Linked DNA regions of Ovis aries. The protein of the gene in region 1 purifies or fractionates together with the protein of each later gene. This does not show direct contact. Links are inferred from orthologs where the notes say so. Each region holds a gene or a part of one and is shown in the gene's direction. Other genes may lie near its edges. The genes, in order: ARHGEF12, GNA13, GIPC1 and MYO6.

Evidence for each region.
Region 2: the proteins of ARHGEF12 (region 1) and GNA13 purify together in Homo sapiens (affinity purification with western blotting; 3 studies listed by BioGRID). This does not show direct contact. The link is inferred for Ovis aries from reciprocal best matches to the Homo sapiens genes ARHGEF12 and GNA13.
Region 3: the proteins of ARHGEF12 (region 1) and GIPC1 purify together in Homo sapiens (co-immunoprecipitation; 4 studies listed by BioGRID and IntAct, with this or other methods). This does not show direct contact. The link is inferred for Ovis aries from reciprocal best matches to the Homo sapiens genes ARHGEF12 and GIPC1.
Region 4: the proteins of ARHGEF12 (region 1) and MYO6 purify together in Homo sapiens (affinity purification with mass spectrometry; 4 studies listed by BioGRID and IntAct, counting the BioPlex papers as one, with this or other methods). This does not show direct contact. The link is inferred for Ovis aries from reciprocal best matches to the Homo sapiens genes ARHGEF12 and MYO6.

What each region holds. Positions count from the first base shown.
Region 1 is NC_056068.1:30,638,058-30,642,355, forward strand, and holds the start of ARHGEF12 (rho guanine nucleotide exchange factor 12), read left to right. Parts: upstream 1-1,440; 5' UTR 1,441-1,839; coding exon 1,840-1,871; exon of another isoform or gene 1,872-2,109; intron 2,110-4,298. UniProt on the Homo sapiens protein: May play a role in the regulation of RhoA GTPase by guanine nucleotide-binding alpha-12 (GNA12) and alpha-13 (GNA13). Acts as guanine nucleotide exchange factor (GEF) for RhoA GTPase and may act as GTPase-activating protein (GAP) for GNA12 and GNA13.
Region 2 is NC_056064.1:61,101,878-61,105,438, reverse strand, and holds part of GNA13 (guanine nucleotide-binding protein subunit alpha-13), read left to right. Parts: intron 1-348; coding exon 349-921; 3' UTR 922-3,561. UniProt on the Homo sapiens protein: Guanine nucleotide-binding proteins (G proteins) are involved as modulators or transducers in various transmembrane signaling systems.
Region 3 is NC_056058.1:9,603,964-9,608,323, forward strand, and holds the start of GIPC1 (PDZ domain-containing protein GIPC1), read left to right. Parts: upstream 1-1,515; 5' UTR 1,516-1,585; intron 1,586-2,091; 5' UTR 2,092-2,100; coding exon 2,101-2,205; exon of another isoform or gene 2,206-2,275; intron 2,276-2,341; exon of another isoform or gene 2,342-2,488; intron 2,489-3,026; exon of another isoform or gene 3,027-3,239; intron 3,240-4,052; exon of another isoform or gene 4,053-4,107; intron 4,108-4,360. UniProt on the Homo sapiens protein: May be involved in G protein-linked signaling.
Region 4 is NC_056061.1:2,724,018-2,727,578, forward strand, and holds part of MYO6 (unconventional myosin-VI), read left to right. Parts: intron 1-83; coding exon 84-234; intron 235-1,714; coding exon 1,715-1,923; intron 1,924-2,561; coding exon 2,562-2,640; intron 2,641-3,502; coding exon 3,503-3,561. UniProt on the Homo sapiens protein: Myosins are actin-based motor molecules with ATPase activity. Unconventional myosins serve in intracellular movements. Myosin 6 is a reverse-direction motor protein that moves towards the minus-end of actin filaments.

The sequences.
Region 1 (4,298 bases):
CCCCCCCCCCTCCCCGCTCCCATTTCTTTCCACAGCAAGCTTGTTAAGCCGCTGTGGAAAGCACCATGCTTGCTCAATTTGGCAAATAACACATTTTATTTTGCCAAGGCAGAAGCAGCCTAAAAGCAACCTTATACGAAGAAATCCTGGCTCCAGTTCCCAAACTGTCTCCCCATTCCTATACACTTCCATCCTCCAACCCTCCGCCGGCAGCCAAGACTTTTTTGCGCGGCAGCCCCTGCCCTGGGCCGAGGCCAGCAGGTGCCCCAGGTGAGCGGCCAAGGCCAAAACCTCTCTCTGCTGGGGTCTGATTCACCAGAGAGCAGCGGGGTCCGGGCAGCCGGACCTGAGTTTGCTTCCATTCGCCAAAAACAGTCTGTGCGTGTTATCAGAAAAGAACAAGTATGCTCCCTTAAGGAATACAAGTTTCTAGGACAAGGGGGTGAGTAATTTCCAAAGAGCCTCCTCTCTCATCCTCAACTCCTCGGGACTGGGGGCGTGCTCTCTGGGGGAAAGCCGAGTTAGGGCAAGCTAGACCCCAAAGTAGCAACCTCCGGCATTCGTGGGCTCCCTGGGACAACCTTAGGTTGGCGCGTGGGACTCTCAGGGTCGCACGGTGCCCACCTCCTTCTGCCCCCACAGAACTACTTTTTCGCTCTCCCCCCACAAGATTCCGGCGGAGGCGTCCGCGCGGGGGCGGCGCGCACCCGCGGCCGGTGAGCGGAGGCGGCGCGCGGGGTGGCGAGAGCTGGGGGCTGGGGCCGCCCCGCGCGCCGCGGAGGGATCCCGGGTGAGGCGGCTTCCCGAAGTCAGAGGGGAGGAGGCCAAAAAAAGTCGGCGGGGGAGGGGAAGGGCGAGCGCTCGCGCTGGATGCGGCAGGGGCCGGGAAGGCAGAACCGGAACCGGAACCCGCGCGCGCGCCTGCGGTTGTCTCGCGGCCCCCTCCACCGCCGGCGGCCTCCTCCGCCCGCCGCGCGCGCTCCCGCGAGAGCCCCAGGACCCGGCTAGCCGGCCCTGCGTTCCGAGTCGCCGGGGTCGCCGCCGGCCTCCCGGGCCAGTGCTTCCAGGCCGGGTCAGACGGGAACCTCCCGCCCCTCGCGGGAACCGCCGCCTACCGGCGCGTCGGGGAGGAGCCACCGCCGCCGCCGCCGCCGCCTTCGCCGACCGCGGAAGAGCCCGGGCCTCCGAGGGATGGGGAGCAGCCCGCGGGGCTGAGAGACCAGGTTCCTGTCACCTCCGGCTGCGGAACCTCCTCCCCCGGCGCTCGTGCTCGTCCCGGCATCCGGAGCCTGGTGGGGGGCGGCGAGGACGACGAGAGGGGTCCCCCGGCCCGGGGCCATGGAGCCGCGCGCGGCTGACGCGGGGCGGCCCGAGACGCGGCCGAGACCGCGGCCACGAGCGGCCGGCAGCCCCAGATAGAAAGCAGAAGCCAGCGGGCCCCGGCTCGGCGGCGGGGATTTGCAGGCCCCCGAGACCCCGACGAGGAGCCCATCCTGCCCCGGACGGACTCCTGAGGTCCGTTCCCCGCGCGGCTCGCCGACTTCCCTCCGTGACGAAGTTTTCTCCGGCGCTTTCCCAAGGATCGCTCCCTAGCTTTAGACCTCGCCTTCTGGCGGACTTGCTCGGTTTGTTTGGGGAGATAACTTGCTTCGCTCCCACCCGCATCCCCTCTCCTTGACCTCTGCCAGTCGGACGTTCTAGATGACTGAATGGAGTTTTGAGTTGGACTCTGGTGTCCCCTACGGAGTCGGGCCTGATCCCGGAGCGCTGGGGGTGGGGTGGAGGTGTTACTGTAAAATGCAAGTTGGATAAAAGGAGGACCTCTCGCCAAGGGCCCCAATGAGTGGCACACAGTCTACTATCACCGACAGGTTGGTATGAAGCTCCCCCCTGCGCTTAGCCTCCCTGGATGGGGCCCGACCTAACAGGAGAGTCAGGATTGCCGATTGCCTTTGCCCAGTGAAGTTGACAGGCATCCGACGGAGGGTTGTTTCCGAGCTCTGCAGTTAGTCTGGGGTTGCTGCCAAGTTACCCGGTTGATTGAATTTGGAAATTTTTTTTTTTTTTTTTTTTTCTGGAGAGAAACTTTTCCAGAGTGTCGGAGGAAGGGTAGGTAAAGCCACGATTGTGTTTTTCTGTCCGTAGTGGGCATTAGGATTCATTACTGTTCTTGGAAGCAGAGGAAGGTCATTTTGGGTGAAGGTCAGCGCCGGAGGTCGGCTGGGGTATTGGTCCCTCATAAGTTTAACTCCTGTCCTGTAGTTCCCTAAACCCTGTTCTGTTTGTGAACTTCATTCTGAGACTAACTGCCTGATGATTTATGAAATTGATATCCTTGAAACATTGACTTGCACAGTGTTTATTGTCTAATAGTTTTACAGAATGTTGGAATTACCAGTAAGTCCCAGTCTCCTGGTGGGGACAATATCAAGGAACTTTAAAAAAAAAAAAAAAAAAGGCAGGGGAACATCATGGGGCTTGATTTTAATTATTGCACTTTTAGGATTTCATTTTCCAGAAACGTTTGCATTTAAGGGGTGTAGGCCTAAGCGAATTATGTAGTAGAAGCTGGCAGGTGGATTTGTTGAGTTGGGTCAGTCTTTTACAGTACTTACCTATGTTGCTTGGTGAATTGAGGTAGACCATTTGTGGTTTAAGTGAGTTTCCTTACTCTTTAGAGTTATTCTTTGAAATATTTAAGTGATAAAAGCATATTCTTTACTACATATTTTTCAGTGTTATTATAACGTATTCAGGCTTCCCTGATGGCTCAGAGGTTAAAGCGTCTGCGGCCAATGCGGGAGATCCGGGTTCGATCCCTGGGTCGGGAAGATCCCCTGGAGAAGGAAATGGCAACCCACTCCAGTATTCTTGCCTGGAGAATCCCATAGACTGAGGAGCCTGGTGGGCTGCAGTCCACGGGGTCACAAAGAGTCGGACAGGACTGAGTGACTTTACTTACTTATTCAAGTCCCAAGTTTCAGTTGTTATTATTATTTTTTTTTTGGTCAGCCTTCAAACCATTACATCATTAAAAAGAAAAAAAAAAGATCAAATAGCTGAAGTTAGGGAGCAAAGAAAGCATTTTGAGAAGTGCTTCTGCAAAAAGTAGTTGAATTCCCTAATAAGACAGTTTCACCCAATTGTAAGACTCATTTGTTGACTTTAAAAGGGCCAAATTCCATTATCTTACCCTAACAGCTACTCCAGAAACAGAATTTCCTGTTCCTGTTGATGCTTCCTAGTATCACGTGAATGTTCACCTAAAAGATTCTATTAAATATTTAAACTATTTATTCTTTGTTTGTGTATTTTTTTAAATGCATTTAATTTTCAACTTCTCCGAGAGTACACTTAACATTATTAACAATGCTTATTTTGATTTTTTCTGGTTATTCCCATTCCTTTTCTTTTAGGGTGTTTTGTCTCTGAGAAGCCACTTTCAAGGGTGATTGTTTTCCTGGTTCTCTCAATTCTTGCCTTCTCTGTTGACCCTGGAGACAAGTCTTACTAGAAACTAATATGTTGGTAGTTTTCATTGCAATAGTAAGGGTGTTTAATTCTGTAGAAACAGAACCTTGGATCACCAGCTCATTCCACATTAAAATCACCTAAAGGCCCCCAAGTAATGATCTTTCCTTCTTCTTTGCTTCTCAGAGATGTCCTATTTCCATTATGTTGGAAAGAAAACCTTGGTATTTGTGTTGCTTTTTATAACTTAGGTGAGATACAAATGTACAATAAACATGCGGTTAATGCTGCCTGTTTTTTTGCCAGGCACTGTGCTGGGCACAAAGGATTAAAAGATGAATATTCTAAGATGAATCTGCAAATTGGTTTGGGTTTAATATCTACTTGAATTAGTTCAGGTACTGCCTAATTTCACATACTTTTTAAAAGACAAAAGACTTTAAAAGCCACTTAATGTGCCTTAGTGAGACAATTATGGATTCGTATTTCTTAGGAATTTACTACTAGTTTCTTTTTTGCCACCACAAGATTTATTCTTATGTGACTATTACTTTTTCTTTGAACATATCTTGCCCCATAATCTCAAGCATCCATTGACTCTTAAGAGTTGTCCCTGATTTGAATATATGTTGGGGTGAAATCTGGAAGTACTGGTTTAGTGTTATTTCTGTGCCAGGCTGCCTTAATAAAGTTACTAGTATAGAACAGTTCCCATCTTCTTCTCAGCCTAACTACCTCAGCCTCTTCTCATGGTCTAACTCCAGTGCACTCTAGGTACATTTTGCTGATTCTAGAGCTATTGGCAAATTAACAGTGCCTGTTTAAAG
Region 2 (3,561 bases), on another chromosome or scaffold:
TTTCCATGCAGCCTTCCTTGAGCACACTGCTCATGGCCCCTCCTCTGCTTTAAGGCTCCACTGCTTGCGTTACAGTTGTTGATTCACGTGAGGTTGGCTGGTCTTTCCCCCTCTGTCCTTGAAGGCAGGGACCCTGTGTCTTGGTTCTGAAGAGCTGAGTTCTTGCTGCTTAGCGACAGGGCCTGGCGCCTCGTCGACACTCAGCAAATGCCCTGCAGCCTGCCAGACTCCGCTGCCCTCCACTGTCTCCCAAGTTCGCTCAGAGTCATGTGCAGACCAGTTAATGGCACACTCCACTTTCTCATTATTCCTGAATCGCTGAGCAGGAAACACTTTCCTTTTTTCCAGGAGTACATTCCCTCCCAGCAAGACATCCTGCTCGCCAGAAGGCCCACCAAAGGCATCCATGAGTACGACTTTGAAATCAAGAACGTGCCTTTCAAAATGGTCGACGTGGGCGGCCAGCGGTCAGAGCGGAAGCGCTGGTTCGAGTGCTTCGACAGCGTGACGTCCATACTGTTCCTTGTCTCCTCCAGCGAGTTTGACCAGGTGCTCATGGAGGACCGCCTGACCAACCGCCTGACCGAGTCGCTGAACATTTTTGAAACCATCGTCAATAACCGGGTTTTCAGCAATGTCTCCATAATTCTCTTCTTGAACAAGACAGATTTGCTTGAGGAGAAAGTGCAAATTGTGAGCATCAAAGACTATTTCCTAGAGTTTGAAGGGGACCCCCACTGCTTAAGAGACGTCCAGAAATTCCTGGTGGAGTGCTTCCGCAGCAAGCGCCGGGACCAGCAGCAGAAGCCCCTGTACCACCACTTCACCACCGCCATCAACACCGAGAACATCCGCCTGGTGTTCCGCGACGTCAAGGACACCATCCTGCATGACAACCTCAAGCAGCTGATGCTCCAGTGACGCCCCAAGGGCCCGCCGCCTTCCCGCCTTCCTGTTTTCTGTTCGTTTTATTTTTAAAATAGAAGTTTACAGCAGGAATTAGAACAGTCTTGATTCTGGGTTTAACTCCTTGGAAATCTCAGTCCTCCTCCGGCGACTCTGGCCCCTGGCGGAGGGCTGCCCTCGGCCGACGCCCGTGGGTGCAGCTCCGGCCTCCGTGGACGGGCCCTCCTCCCGCCAGGCCTCAGACACGCTGTCCTTCCGGCTTTGACCCTTCCCCTTCTCAAACAGTGCTCCTGTGGCGCCAAGCATGGCAGGCGCCCTTAGCGCCGCAGGGCGAGCCCGAGGCCGAGCGCGCGCAGGCCCTGGACCGCGCGGGGCGCCGCGGTCGCCGCATGTGGCAGCTGCGCCTGTGCCCAGCCTCGGTGGGCTGGTGGGGAAGGAGGGCCGCTGGGGAAGTTTGCTCTGAGCAGCGGCGGTCCGTAGACCTCCCCGGCTTCGGCCTTCACGTTCTTCTGATTGCTCGTGTCCCCAGCAGTTCTGAGTTTTCTGTGGCTCCTGAAGGCAGTGCTCGGCGTGTGTCTCAGTTCACATAAGGGTGTCTCCTCTGGCGCGGGTGGAAGCTCCCGTGTGGTTCAGGGTGCACAGGCGCGTGCCGTTCCCAGTGTTTTGATCAGAAGCCAAAAGAGTGGAGGGCAGGCTGCCTTTCCCATACTGAGACCTGTCCTCCAGGTGCCATGCAGGAAACACTGGCCGTCACAGCAGCTAGGAAGCGCAGCCTGGCAGCAGAGCTTTCTGAGTAAACCCAGCCCTTCCCGAGGAGAGTTCGTGTTACTCTCAGACTTTGAGCCCCCGGCTCAGACACGGCAGGTCCCACAGTGGGAATCCCTGTCGCACCATCATGGACGTGGTTCGTTCACGCTCCTTCTGTTCCCGTCAGCTCCAGAGGGCAGCATTTATGAGGGGTTTTGGGTTTTTTGGAGCTTGCCAAGGGCAATGTTTTCCTGTCAGACTATCCAGGAAGCCGTTGCTTGAGGTTCTCGTTCCTTCTCGGTGTGTCTCTTCGGAGGCTGTATGTGTTGGCAGCACTGTTGTTCGTGGAATTCCAGCTCTCCTGAGGTGCGTTTGGAAGGTTCAAGGATTCTCTCAAGAATGAGGAGTCGTGTTCAGTTCCTGCTGAAAGATGGTTACGTGTGACCTCCCCCACCACGCCCCCAATTAGAACGCACCCCAGGGAGCTCTGCTGTTAACAGACGCACCCTCTGAGCGCCTCAGAGTGGCTGGGTTTCGGCATTAAGAGGCCCGCCCTGTGGGTTATGTGTGGTGTTGCAGTCGGGTAGAGGAACAGGTGTACAAGGTGAGTTTGGAGAGTCTGGTGGTTTTTCTCCCTTTCCTGAAAACTGTGATTGACTGTGACACCTGCCCCTTCACTGCACAGCTGACTGTGTTCTCAGGTGTTTATAGGCGAGCAGTCCTTGAAAGGCTGGTCAGAGTTCTGGATCCCCCAGCCCTCCCCGGTCGGGCTCTGGGTCTGTGTCGCGGGTGGGTTAGGCTAGGACTCTGCTGGGACCTGACCAGCGCTTGTCGGGCGCCTGACTTTGCTCGCATTTGAAGCTCCTCCATCGCTGCCCCCATAGCTGCCTGTGTGTCCGTGTCCTGGTGATGCTGTGCTGCTGACGTGAGCCCCGCCCTGTGACACAGGCGTCCATGGAGCAGGGCTCGCGCATGTCTGAGCTCTGTGTCCAGTGCTGCTCACTAAACACAAGTGTGTTGTTTAACCTGCAGAGTGAACCATTTCAGGGCACAGCACGTGTGTGTTACACGGAGACTTGGGTGGAGGTCTGTGCGTCAGTTTATCAGGAGGTGGTGTTTCACTCCAGTGAGGGCTAAAGTCAGTTCCGGGTGTGTGCAGTGAGGAGGGATGGTCTCAATCAGGTCCTTGTTCAGATCTCTGATACAAGCCGCACACACTGCCCAGCAAAGCAGAAGTCCCCATTTTGACCACCACAGTCAGATGTTAGAGCACCAAAGAAATGGCATACTATTCTAAGCATTTGAGATTCCTTTCCTGATGGGTGTGGAGTCTCAGAGTCAACTTTCTTTTAAAGTAAAACCTTGAGTATATTCTGAGGCAGTAAATTACTCATACAGGCTTGCTGGTTCAGTCTGAAGGCTTTAGTCACATGTTTTGTGTACTGTATATTTAAACCATGTGAAAGAGTCCTGTACCTGTATCATGAAAACCAGATCTGTTTAAAATACACTGTGTGAAGGGGAGACGGAGATTCGGGGCCAAGCTGCCAGGGTGCCTGCTCCCCCACCCCAGTCTCTAAAAATGTAATTTGAATTTAAAATTCTCCACTGTATTTAACTTTCTAAGTCTTCATGGTTACACTTTGGAGTAAACTGTGCCTAATTCTCCATTACATTCTGTTCTTAGGTCTGAACGTCTTGTTTAATTCTTAAGAAATGTCACACAAGTGTCTTCATTGACCTTGAAGAACCTTACAGTATACAGAGTTGCCTTATAAAGCAAAGAACACCTCAAATTTTGCCTTTTTTTTTTCTTAAATAGGGAAGAGTTTTTGTCAGATATTTTTTCTGAAGATCCAAATAATTTAAAGGCATGCCTCTGCCACTTAAATATTATTTTTAACAACC
Region 3 (4,360 bases), on another chromosome or scaffold:
ATCGGCTGTTCGCATCAGGTGGCCAAAGCTGGGGCTTCAGTATCAGTCCTTGCAATGAGTATCCAGGGTTGATTTCCTTTAGAATTGACTGGTTCGATCTCCTTGCTGTTCAATGGACTCTCAAGAGTCTTCTCCAGCACCACAGTTTGAAAACATCACTTATTCGGTGCTCAGCCTTCTTTATGGCCCAACTTTGACATCTCTACATGACAACTGGAAAAACCACAGCTTTGACTATACAGACTTCTGTTGGCAAAGTGATGTCTTCACTTTTTTTAAATATGCTGTCTAGGTTTGTCCTGGCCTGGGAAGGGTGCATTTGTGTCTTTGTTTCTTGTACCTGCTTCTGCCTAAGAAATCTCAGTTACAAGCCAGACCTGGAGATGGTGAGATTACCTAGTTCTTTCATCCACATATGTATACTGAAACCCTGCTCTGTGCCATTCTCAGGACTGGAGGGTGGGGGACAGAGAGGGAACAGAGATGGAGACAGACTCGTGAATGTCAGCTCCCTCAGGGCTGAGACTTGGGTTGGCTGGGTATCCTTTGTAATCTAGCACATAATATGTGCTCAATAAATATCCACTGGTCAACCAGCAAGCGAACAGACCGTTTTGCCCTTGTCTTTCGTACCACTGCAACCTAAAGATGCTTTGCTAGCTGCTTTGCAAACTCCTTCGCTATTGCACTCTCCTAAAGTGTGCTGTATCTCTCTGTCCGCCCTCCAAGCCTTTGCATGCCCCGTTCCCTTTACCAAGAGCATATTCATTCAGCTTACTCGTAGACGTATCTGTTGAGATAGGACAGAGCCTGGCACGGAGCAGGAGCGCCTTAAATATTTGATGAGTAAATGAATGAATGAATGCCCTTGTCCATTGTCCATCCAGGACGCTGGACACGCGGGACCCTCCCTATTCATCTCAGTCCCCCGCCCTCCCGCCCAGAATGAATACATCTTTTTATCCGCTCTGAGGGTGGCCGAGCTGAGACATGGGCAGGCCAAGTGGAGGACTGGATTAGGGACCGCCCTTGGCCCCCTCCGGGTATCCTAAAGGGTTCCCTTTTCTGGACTTTGGAAGTTTGTATCCTTTCCCCCTCCCCACCCCCAAACTCAGTATCGGTCACCTGACTTCCACGACTAGTCCCCCGCCTCTTAGCACCCACAGCACCCCACACGGACACTTAGCCAAGAACACGTGGTCCGGGGGCCCCAGCTTCCCATTGGCCGCTGGCCTCCTTCCTCCCAGAGATTGGCTCGGGCTCGGCCTCAGCTCCCCCTTCCGCCGCCTCGCGGTGGAACAGGCCGCCGCGGCTTAGGAGGGGTGGGAAGGTCCAACGCTCCGCGGCGGGGGAGGTGTCGTGAAGAATCGCGTGCAGCGCAGGGATCCCTCTGGAATGTTTCCTTCGGGTTCCACCCGCAGGGGGGCGGCGTGGAGTGGATTGGCCGCGAGCGCCGGGCGGCCGTTTCTGATTGGCCAGATGCGGGCGCCAGCCCCGCCCCCTGGCGGTGGCTGCGGGAGAGGCCCGGGCCAGAGTTTGCGGAGGGCCGAGCTGGGCGAGCTGGGCGGCGGCTAAGGAGGCTCAGGTGAGTATACCCGGCAAGGCAGGGGCGAGGGGGTGGTCCATCGCGGCCGCTCGAGGGGACCCCGGAGCAGACCCGCGAGATCGCGAACCCGCGGAGATTCGGCCTATCCTGCGGGGTGGGGCCGGCCCCATGGACGCGGCTGGAGGTCTAGGCTGAGTGGGGTGGAGGGGCGGGACGGGGTGGGGGGAAACGTCCGAGTCCCCTTCCCGGAGGACCGCCTGCCTTCCCTCTAAGGTCAGGGGTGAACGCCTCCCGGCGCCGGGATGTCGTCTCCAGCCGCACCCCAGCCCCCTGCACCTCTGGAGAGTTCCCCTCCCGGTGGGGACAGGCGCAGAGTCGGTATTTCTGACAAGTCCCCGAAGCTGGCCTTGTCCCCGAAGCTGGCCTTGTCCCACTCGTCCAGGGCCTGGCGAGGGGGTGGGGTGCGCCTTGGGAGGATCGAGGTCCCGATTGTAATAATGAAAACAATCACCCGGGCTAGCATTCATTGAACACTTCCGTGTCAGGTATTTACCATGCGGATCATTGAATCACCCCTCATGGAAGTTGCTGTTACTTCTTTCAGAGGTGAAGCAGCAGACCCAGAGAGGTGGAGTGTCTTGCCTAAGGTCACACAGCGAGTAAGTGGCAGATCTGGGACTCAAACCCATGCTTCAGAGTCCAGAACTGGAATCTCCGCCACTAGACTAGGTATCCAGTGGCTTCAGGGCTCAGGTGTTTCTGACCAGCTCCTCCCACTCCATTCCCTCCAACCAGGCAGCCATCTGGGGCACACCTGCTGGTCTTCGTTTTCACCAGCTGCTCAGACAGGAAGCTGCCCCCATGTCCCTTTTCCCCAAAGCTGGAAAAGCAAGGCCAGACTACTGGGTCCTAAGAAGAGAGAGACATCTGTGGGAGAAATAGGTGGGTGGTGGGGACCATTGGGGTCCTGTGGCTGCTGGGCCCCTAGGGAGGCCTGGGCCGCGGACAGTAGGCATTCTCCCTGGAAACACCCATGAGCCGGTTTTTCAAGACTGATTCAGAGGCCTCCTGCCCTCCTCTTCCAAGCAATGCACTGCCAAAAAGGGGAGCATGGGCGTGGTGTCCCCTTCCCAGCTTGTGTGAGCTCTCAGGAACCCCCTTCCCATTTCCTGCTCCTCCCATTGCAACGCTGTGTGGCTGTAGGCTTGTTAAGTTCCGGGCCCTCCCAGTGAAGAGAGGGTAGGGATGTGGGATTCCAGCCAACCTGCTCAGTGCCACTAGCTGAATTGAAGCTCATTTTCTCCATACCTGTGTTCAAGTTTAAGAGGAGACTGGGAGTGTGGTGGGGAGGTGGCAGTTTGAAACGGTACAGTAGGCATGTTCTGAGGCTAGAGGGGCTCAGAGAGTAGTCAGAATGAGGGCGTAAGACACATTATTCATTCGTTCTGTACATATTAATTAAGTACCTGCTATGTGCCAGGTGGGCTTCCCTGGTGGCTCAGTGGTAAAGCATCCTCCCACCAGTGCAGGAGACACAGGTTTGATCCCTGGGTCGAGAAGATCCCCTGGAGGAGGAAATGGCAACCCACTCCAGTATTCTTGCCTGGAAATCCCATGGACAGAGGAGCCTGGTGGCCATCGCAAGAGTTGGACACAACTTAGCAACTAAACCACCACCACCACCACAGGCCAGGTACTGTTCCTGGCATAGAGGATACAGTAGTGACCACAACAGAAATCCCTGCTCTTGGGCAGCTACCATTCTAATGGGGGGGGGGGGGGAACAGGCAACAAACAAGTTGTTAATAACAAGTAAATAAAGAAAACACTTGCAAGAGGTTGATAAATGCTATAAATAAAATATGAGGGAGTGGCATGGTAGAATCTGTAAGAAAGGGGGATCTCGGAGGAGGTAACTTTGGAGCCAAGATCTGAATGACAAAAAGAAGCCAGCTTTGTAAGGATCAGGTAGGGGGCACAGCCAAGGCAAAGGCTCTGAGGCTGGGCCAAGCTTGGCATGGTATGGCTGGGGCAGGAGAGAACCCACAGTGTGATTCTGTGGGGATCTGTGGGTCACATTAAGGAGTTTAGAGCTTTTCTTCTATCACGTGGGAAACTGATGTAAGATTTGAGGCTGGGGAGCAACACGATCTGGTTTATGTTTTAAAATAGAGACATGAAGTGAAATAACAGCCTAAGACTGGAAGACAAGGGTTCTGCCAGAACAGCATGTAATTAAGTCCGTGGGCCTGAGTTGTCTAGACCACAGGGGTGGTTGTAACAGGCAGGGACAAGCCGAGGAGGCTGCTTGGAGGAGGTGGCCAGGAGTAGGCCTTGACAGGCAGAGGGGACTCCCTGGGCAGGGCAAGGGAAGAGGCAGTAATAACAGTGAGAGTAATAATTTTCTTAAATCAAATGTCAGGCAAAGTGCTAATTGAGTTACTTGCATAAACTCTTTGGATTCCCATAAGCACTCTGAGAGACAGTAATTCTGCCCATTTTTCAGATGAGGAAACTAAAGCGCCATCAAGTGAAGTGACTTGCCCACAGCCACTCAGCTGGTAAGTGACAGGGGTGGGATTTGAACCCAGGCCACTCTGCCTCTTCTGGCCTGGAAAACAAATTCATAAACCACCCACTTTCCTTACCACCATTATTTCCCTGTCCTGGGTAAGACATGCAGCCAGCCTGAACCAGGGCATCAAGTGTAGGCAGACTAAGGAAGTTGGGAGTTGGTGAGCAGGATGTAGGGGCCCTAGAAAAAGGAGGGAGTGTGAATCTTGGCAGCTGACTAAAGATGATACAGATAGAAAT
Region 4 (3,561 bases), on another chromosome or scaffold:
TATTTTTAGCATTTAATTAAAATGAAAAATCTATTTGTATGATTAAATGGTAGAATTAAAGTGATAAAGTATTATCTTTGCAGCATTGATGGCCTGGTTAAGGTGGGCACACTGAAAAAACGGCTCCATAAATTTAATGAAGTAGTAAATGCATTGAAAGATGGAAAACCAGAGATGAATAAACAGGTCAAGGACCTTGAAATTTCTATTGATGCTTTAATGGCCAAAATTAAGGTATGTAGTTTTAACCCAAATCACTTTTGACTTTTAAAAACAGTTTAATATTTTTTGTTACTATATTGAAATTTTATAGAAAAATGTCCTTTTTTAAAAAAAATACAGACTGTTAGATGTGTTGAGTCTCAGTGATAAGTGATAGTCATCTTATTTTCTCTACTCTGTGTTTGAAATTTTTCATAGCAAAAAAATTAAAATGAAGACAATTTTTGTGCAATTCATTTGTTGCTAGGAAAGACTTTTCCAAAATATTAACTAAAATATTATACTTTTGGTAAGCTTTTGCAAAATCATTACTGAGAGAAAATTAATGCAAATTGTTTTATTTTGTTTCATGCTTTTCTACTTTCAGAAACTAATTTTTAAATTTTAAAAGTAATAGTCTCAAAAATTTGGAGAAAATCTGCCCCACTTCTTTACCCCTCACACTAACACATTCACCTATATACTGTTGCATGTTCCTCTCAGTCTTATTTTATATGCACATATTTTTGCACCGTTCTTATAAGGTACATTATATTTCACATTCCTATCATTATGTTATTGCCTCGTCCCTATTATTAAATTATTTTCATGTAGGCTATATCATAAATTACTTAACTTTCACGAAATAACAATTAATTTTCTCCCATATTTTGTAAGAAAAAAAGCGAGAGGGCATCTTTGGTTTTGATTTTTGTTTGATTACTAGTGGGATTGAAAATTTTTTCTTTGTGCTTGTTTGTTGATTTTGTTCATCTATTCGTATCATTTTCTGTAATATTTTAGGGCCTCAATGTTTTTCTCATTGACTTTCATAATTCATTGCAGTTATGTGAAATATAATATCTTAAAGTGAGACTTTTAGATATTTTCTACAGATAATGATAAATCTTGGAGTAAGAATGGAGAAAGAAGTCAAGAGAAAACTGAAAATGCTTTGGATAGCCTTAGCTGATTTTACAGATCTGTCCAGAACCACCCCTGTTTATGTGGTATTAATCAATTAAAATCAACCCAGCCACATTTAAGAAAATCATCCAACAATTTTGGGTATAATGATAATTTCTTAAATATCCCCAATGTATTATTTGATCCTTAATATTAAAGAGTAGTAAATTCTGGCAAAATTAATCATTTCTTAAAAAATAAACTTTAACTACAGTATATTAGTTTGTGCACAGTATACTCTTAAGATACTTGATTACTTGATAGGAAGTAGACTCAAATTTTGTTCATAGAGATAACTTAAAATTTAAGTATTCTTTAATATTTAAGCAATAAAAAGATAGTGGGCCTCCTGCTTACCAGCTTTTTCAGTTTTGCTGTGTCTGTGCATGGTGGTTTGTTTCCTTAATTGTGTGAAACGCATACCATTAAACTTACCACTTTAACCAGGTTTTAAATGTACAGTTCAGTGGTGTTCAGTGTGTTCTAACTGTTGTACAGCAGAAGAGATGACTTTTTAAGTGCACGTCCATTGTGTTCTTTCTTTCAGTCCACGGTGATGACAAGGGAACAAATACAGAAAGAGTATGATGCTCTAGTTCAAAGCTCAGAGGTCCTTCTCAGCGCGCTGCAGAAGAAAAAGCAGCAGGAGGAAGAAGCAGAAAGGCTGAGGCGCATTCAAGAAGAAATGGAAAAAGAAAGAAAAAGACGTGAAGAAGATGAGCAACGTCGAAGGAAGGAGGAGGAGGAAAGGCGGATGTAAGGCATTTATGTTGTTGCCTTGGATTAGAAACTGACGCCATAGTGAACTCTGAAGTGTTGACGGTGGTTAATGAATATTCTTATCTGTAAAAGTGATATTCTTATATTTAAATACTAATTTTAGAAGAAGTTTGAAAATGGAGAAAGTAAGCTCACTTTACAGTAACATAAAATGATTTTAATTATAATCTGAATTTTGGTTAAACTCACACCTGAGGATTTCTTAACTTCTTTTTGAAACTGACTTTCATATTATTTTATGATCTAGGAAGAAAGTACTTTTCTGCAGTTTTAAAACTGATAAAATTTTGGAAGCTTGCCATAGTAGGGCAGACAGAAGGAATATGAGTTGTCTAATTGGAGAGGCAGTGTGATTAAGACCTTACAAGTACGCTTGGTAACCAAGTTAATCCAGAGATGTTAAAGGTTATGGAATATAATTATTTCTTTTGTTTCTAAAGAGCTGCTATCAAAGTTAGATTTTATTTTTCAGAAAATAAGTTAATAATGTAATAGGTTAATTTGACTTCCCATTTTGTAACATTTATTTATTAATAAACTTTCTTCTGAAGAGTTTCTTATTTTCTGTTAATTTTTGAAGAGTTTTCTAATTTTTTTTTTTTTTTTTTTTTTAGGAAACTTGAGATGGAAGCAAAGAGAAAACAAGAAGAAGAAGAAAGAAAGAAAAGAGAAGATGATGAAAAACGTATTCAGGTCTGTACTTTCTAGGCAGTCAGACTGAATTCTTACTAAATAGAATCTGCAAAACTATAAAACAAAAGAAGATCTTCATTTACTAGATAAATTGTCACTGATTTATCCTAGAGAGCAAAGGCAGTTTCAGAAGTGGTTATAGGAAGGGACTTTGGAGCTAGGGAAGTGAGTTCAAATCCAGCCTCTCACTGACAGAAATCGTGATATTGCAGGAGTTACAGTGAGTGACTGTGGGCCACAGTTTTCTTTCTGGAATGGAGATAAATAATAATTGTGAGCATTAAATGAGATAATACCTATTAAAGCATTTAGAACAGTGCCTTGTTTAGTAGGTATTAGTTTGTCATCATTTAGAGGGGGACAGTCAGATCAGCATTCAGTCACAACATAATTATCTAATATTTTTAAATGTTATTTTATAACTTTGTAGATGCTAATATTAATAGGTTAGGATTAAGATACTCTCACTATTGCCACCATCTTTAAAAAAAAAATCCATGTCTGAGAATAATTAATCCTATTTTGAGTGTCTGTCTTGGCTTTCTGATTTATCCTGAACACAACCAATACTTTAAGTTCCTGAAATCTGCAGTGTAGGTGTTGGTATTCAGGTCACACCAAGGCTACTGATGTGATGTTTGGGAGACTCATATTCTAGTGATAGAATGGCGGATTCTTACTTTGGGGCTTGAGGAAACATTAATCATAATATAGAAGGGGAGAAGATGGTAGATTTCTGGGTAAAGAGTATGTATTTCTTAGTTTAAAAAAAAAAAGAAAAAACGTGTATGGAGCAAGTGTGCACAGTGAGGGGATGAGCAGAGAGAGAGGGGCCCGGCGTCAAGGCCTTCTGTGCCGGCAGGCAGAGGTGGAGGCGCAGCTGGCCCGGCAGCGGGAGGAGGAGACCCAGCAGCAGGCGGT